Mus musculus: one gene and its partner. The main gene of each other region encodes a partner of the protein of the gene in region 2 in a complex. Links are inferred from orthologs where the notes say so. Each region holds a gene or a part of one and is shown on either strand. Other genes may lie near its edges.

Region 1 (3,278 bases), about 27 Mb from region 2:
TATGGTATCGCTGCACACCTAAGGAGTTTCTACAAGGGTTTGTGCTCTTTTAAAAAATAAATAGAATCTTACACTCCAGCTGTGTAGTCATGTACATGATCTTCTTTCCTTAGCAATAGATTATTTCTGTGGCATTTAACTGCTATACACTAGTATGTAACATCTTATATGCAACTGATCCCTGTTATTGCATGTTAGATTTTCTAGTTTTTCCTGCTAAAATTGATCATTTTAAATCTTAATTATTTATGTCAATAAAATTCCCAGAAGAGAAATGCTAGCACAAAAATGACATTTTTTAAAGACTTTTGATACACAAAGCATTGCCAAATCTCTCAGAAGAGCTTTGTAGCTTACATCCCTACATCAGCCCTCCACTGATTCTTAGGGAACTGCTTAGTTGTTTATTGTTTAAAATGCAGGCTAAGCAAAGCCCTGTAAAAGCCTACATCTCAGGAACCTAAGAACCTTAATTGAAGAGTAATATGTAAAAACATAATAATTATTGCAGCCACAAAACTTTATATTGGGGAATTTTTTTTCTTTGCTCCTTAAAAGTTGTTAGGAACATCATTAAATTTTCAATTTTACCCCTTCTGATTTTATGTGGTTTTGTTTGTTTGTTTGTTGATTTTGTTTTTTGGCAGCTTGTGGATAGGAGGTTATAGCTCTAGATGCAAAGATATATAGGGAAATGTCAGTCAGTCTTTAAACTGAAGAGAACGTTGGCGGTACAAACATTATGTAAAACCCCGCCCATAGGAACTCCGAAGACCCCACTGTGTTGAACAGAAGGAGCAGTGAACAGCTGAGAGGGTGGCTTCCGTGTCCCCTCTGCTTAGACAATGCCTAAGGGGACACCTGTGCTTCTGGAACAGGCTCTCCCAGAGGAGAAGTTCAGAGATAAGTATAGGTAAATCTAACGTCTGTAAGTAGGAAAGTTTAAAAAGTTTTACATGGTTTTAAAAGGGATCTTTTAAGAAAATAACCACTCTTGAAAGATCAAACAAGATAGAATTACATAAATCAGTTTTTTTCTTTGGTTAGGAGTTTTTAAGACCAAGAAGTAAATTTAAATGTTATAATAAATTGTTAAATTTTCCCATCAGTCCATCAGTCTATCAGTCCCCAGTTCTGCCTTCAGTTCTATCAAAAAAAATGTGTTCCTGAGCTGGACGTGGGCGCGCACGGACGTGGGCGCACACCCTTAATCCCACAGCTCAGGAGGCAGAAGCAGGCGGGGGTCTGTGGGCTCCAGACCATCCTGTTCTGCAGAGTAACCTCCAGGACAGCCACAGCTACAAGGAGGAACCCGGTCTCTAAAACAGCAAACCAACAAAGAGAGGGGGTTCCCTTCTTACCACCTCGACTCACATGCCAGCCAGAACCAGCCAGTGTTGTTGGAATCACCCCAGTGGGCTTTTGTCTTACTCCTGCCCTCACTGCTGTCCTCCAGACAGTCTTAAAATGGGAAACAGATTGGGTCACTGCTCTTGAATTTCTCCACCGTGTCGTTTCCCAGTAAAAGCCTGAGCCATTACAGTGGCCCGCTGGCCCTCACATGGCCTGTCCTCTCCTGTCTTCTCTCTTTTGCTCCTGCTTCTGCCACCACACAGCTCTGTCACACCAGAATCTTTGGAACACTCTGAACGCTCTGAAACCCACGCTCACAGCACTTGTTCTTCCTTCATCTAATCGCTGGCCATGTTCCCAAGGAGTCTTCTTTCACATCCTCCACGTCAGTCTTGAGATGTCACTCTAGCAGGGCCTTCCTAAGGTTTTGTGCCCAGCATACACATGTCTAAATATTCTGTTCCACATTTGCCCTCAGGACCGTGCAGGCAGCATCGTCTTGAAGGTGCTTATCTCTTTTAAAGCTAATGATATTGAAAAGGCAGTGCAGTCTCTGGACAAGAACGGTGTGGACCTCCTAATGAAGTATATTTATAAAGGCTTTGAGAGCCCATCTGACAACAGCAGTGCTGTGTTGCTCCAGTGGCATGAAAAGGTAAGTTACAATTTACACATCCCTGTAGCTGGCTCCTTTAAAATGGAAGATGCCACCTCTGTCACCTGAGAAGTGACTTGACTGTACACCTTGACTAAAATGAAAAGTTTACATTTGCTTACCAGCCTTGATCTTAAAGGATTCCTTTTTGCACTGCATATTTATTTGCATATACTTAGTACATAAGTGATTATGTACTTGAAATATGAATTCTTTTACATTAATCAAAGGATAGAAATAGCTGGGCAGTGGTGGCATCCACCTTTAATCCCAGCACTTGGCAGAGGCAGGCGGATTTCTGAGTTCGAGGCCTGCCTGGTCTACAGAGTGAGTTCCAGGACAGCCAGGGTTATACAGAGAAACCCTGTCTCAAAAAAACCAAAAAAAAAAAAGGATAGAAATAACCCAAGATAAAGATTAATATATGGTACCTAGAAACAGTGGGGTGTTACTCATCCATGGAAGGGAATGGAGTTTTTGTACATTCTACAATATAGATAAATCCCAGCAACTACATGATGGCTCACAACCATCCGTAATGAGATCTGACACCCTCTTCTGGTGACACTGAAGACAGCTACAGTGTACTTATATATAATAATAAATAAATCTTTAAAACAAAAAAGAAGTATTTATATTTCTACTTGTGTGAAATAGTCTGAAATAGGCAAGCTCAAAGGGATCGAAAGTTATAATAAGTTGCCAAAGGCCATGGAGAAGGAGTATTTGCCTAGCATTCTTGGTTGATCTCATGCACTGTAGTTTTGTATTTCAAAAATTGTTATCGGCATGTATGGCAGTGTATGTCTCTAGAGAGAGGTATCCCAGGCCAAGCTGGTCTACATAATGAATTATATGCTGTACTGGGAGGCTGGTCTCAGGGAGGAAGAGAAAAGGAAATTATTTTTAGTTCTGTATAAGAATTTAGTAGATAGATGAACCAGGTGACTCAGTTGGTTAGAATTTCGTGCCAGCAAACTTGACAACTTGACTCATTCTCTGAGGCCCACATAATGGGCAGAAAGAACTGACTACCTACACACACACACATTCACGTACATTGTACCCACATACATGTACACAAAGCAAGCTTTCATACCTAGCTCTTGTACTGATAAAATACTAACAATAACATAGCCACATCTCTCCATAGAAACGCTGGGATTCCAGGTGTTAACCATTCAATTTGCCTATGATTTTTTTTGTGTACATTGTGGGAATGTAACTCTGTGAGTTAGCACTTTTGATGTGCTGAGCCATCCTTCAGACC
Region 2 (2,670 bases):
GTCTCATAGTACAGGCATGGCTTGTTAATTGAATCTTGCCTGACTTCTATCCTCAGTAGCTGTAGTATGTTGGTCACCATGGTCCTTTCACTCCTGAGCTGGATTGTTATTAACTTGAACATTACACTAACACAATGTTAACATAACAATTCTATACACTCATGTATAAAATATACTTAATTTTCAGTTTGCTAATCCAGATTTTACACAACCTATCTCAGAAGTTGTAGATGAAGTCATTCAGAATTGCCCCATTGATGTCCGGCGTCCTCTCTACAAGGTTAGTGTTTACAGCAAAAACTGGAGTTTTAAGTTTTCTTTTCATAATATTTAATAGCATATTTTAAAGCCTTTATTCTTGTTCATTGTTGAATATTAGAGAATTGTGTCTTAGAAAAGACACAATTGAATTCTTGTATATTTGTCTCTAGATTGCTTCTCTTTTAAAATAAAGATCATAATTTTTGGTTTTTTTTGTTTTTGTTTTCTACCACCACAGAACATTGTCCTCTCTGGTGGTTCAACCATGTTCAGGGACTTTGGACGTCGTTTGCAAAGAGATTTGAAGAGAACTGTAGATGCCAGGCTGAAGTTAAGCGAGGAGCTGAGTGGTGGTAGATTGAAGGTTGGTTTTCTCAACCATTGACAGAGAATGTGGAAGACCCCCTTGTTACTGCATTCTGGACAGGAATGTTTGCCAGCTCTCACTTAGGAGCATTAAGACAATCATGCCAGGCGTCCTGCTGGAAGGTAGCCACTATCCCTAGAATCATGGGTGCAGTTTGTTGCTTGGTACTTTGCTCTGGTTTGAGCTCTGTTGAGAAATGACAAAATGTCACAGCTCAGGCAGACTGCTTGTGCAAAAAAGGTTTTTATGTTTGCTTTCCTCCTCAACCAACCAATTCTTCTGACACTCACATAACTCCACTGTGTGAAAGGCTGACTTGTGTTTCACAGATATAGTTTTAAATCTGTGTAGCAGGGCCTGGTGAGATGCTTGTTGTACACACCCAGTGACCTGACCTGAGTTTGATCCCTAGAATCCATAGAAAGGTGAAAGGAAAGAAGCAACTCTCAGTGTTATCCTCTGTCCTCCTCAAGCATACCATGACACACACATAAAAGTTTAAATTCTGACTTAGGGGAATTCATACATTGATTATAAACACAAGGTATGGCTGTTGACCTAAGACATATTTCACCAGTTGATTTAAGAATGATCTGTCAAGCCAAAGGAAAACAGAATAAAATTAAAAACAGAAGAAAACAAAAACAATGTTATATTATTTAGTCAAGGAACATACATTCCTCTTTCTCTCTCTCTCTCTCTCTCTCTCCTCTCTCTCTCTCCCTCTCTCCCTCTCCCTCCCCCTCCCCCCTCCCTCCCTCTCTCTCTTCCTCCCTCCCTCCCTCCCTCCCTCCCTCCCTCCCTCCCTCTCTTCCTTCCTCCCTTCCTCCCTCCCTCCCTCCCTCCCTCCCTCCCTCCCTCCCTCCCTCCCTCCCTCCCTTCCTCCCTTCCTTCCTTCCATAATTTGGGGTGGTGTGTGTGTACACGCATGCACCTGTGTGCTTGCATTCACACATGTTGAGATCAAAGGATAACTTGAATGAGTTGGTTTGATCCTTTTACCATGTGGGTGGGTCCTGTGGGCAAACTCAGATTGATAACAAATGCCTTTTAACACTGAGCCATCTTGCTGGCCTATTCTCCAGTTAAGGAGCTCTAGGAAGCTTCACTTTGCTCACTGTTTCCTAGCCTGGACATATTTGAAGAGTTCAGGCTGTGTATTTTCTGAACTTTGTCTTGGTATGGGTCTGTTTGGTGTTCCTTCTGGGTGGGTGTAGTTTGTGCTTTGACAGTCACATCACAGAAGCGTTTTCATGTCAGTTTTACTGCGTTTTGTCAGAGAATGCATTGACTTTAACTGCTTGGTAGAGGCTTCCTGCCAGTTTTCTTCTGTGTATAGCCTGTTACCTTTGCATTCCCATGTGTAGAAACTTAAGAGGAGGCTGTCAGGCCATATAGCTGTTCTGTGCTTCATGAGACTTTTCAACCAGCAGTTTTAACATTCATTCTTGTTTTCCTGAAATAGTTGTGGCTGAGGTAGTTGCCAAAAGTACAGTTAACTTGTTCCTGTTTGTGGCTGAAGTAGTTGCCAAAAATAGAGTTAGTTTCTGTCTGCCCTGGTTTTGCCCCATGCATGTCTCCTTATATGTATTTGATTTATATGTTTAGTATTTAATTATACATGATTTATGGAGTACAGTGTGATAATTTGATACATGTATGCAAGTTGTAAGATCAAAGCAAGGTAATAGCATTTCAGTTTCTTTAAACACGCATCATTGTATTTGGAGCCTCTCAACTCCGGTGTGGTAGGGCAAATACTGGTGCTATGCTGTGTGTACTGACAAGTGTGGTCATCTTCATCTGCTGTTCCATCACACCCACTCTAGATAATCTCAGGTCCTGAGTTCTGTCCCTTGGACTTTATAATTATTATTTTTGTGTATGCGCATTTAAACTTAATTGATTGAGAAATTGGTATTTGAATTTACTGTTACTTTGTTACTTTTTAGCCCAAGCCTATTGATGTACAAGTTATTACACACCATATGCAGCGGTATGCAGTCTGGTTTGGAGGGTCAATGCTGGCTTCCACGGTTCGT

What was found.
Region 1: Actr3 (region 2) and Arpc5 share a complex: the UniProt entries of both Homo sapiens proteins name them as parts of the arp2/3 complex. The link is inferred for Mus musculus from reciprocal best matches to the Homo sapiens genes ACTR3 and ARPC5.

What each region holds. Positions count from the first base shown.
Region 1 is NC_000067.6:152,769,533-152,772,810, forward strand, and holds part of Arpc5 (actin-related protein 2/3 complex subunit 5), read left to right. Parts: intron 1-1,831; coding exon 1,832-2,008; intron 2,009-3,278. UniProt on the Homo sapiens protein: Component of the Arp2/3 complex, a multiprotein complex that mediates actin polymerization upon stimulation by nucleation-promoting factor (NPF).
Region 2 is NC_000067.6:125,395,062-125,397,731, reverse strand, and holds part of Actr3 (actin-related protein 3), read left to right. Parts: intron 1-187; coding exon 188-280; intron 281-499; coding exon 500-625; intron 626-2,580; coding exon 2,581-2,664; intron 2,665-2,670. UniProt on the Homo sapiens protein: ATP-binding component of the Arp2/3 complex, a multiprotein complex that mediates actin polymerization upon stimulation by nucleation-promoting factor (NPF).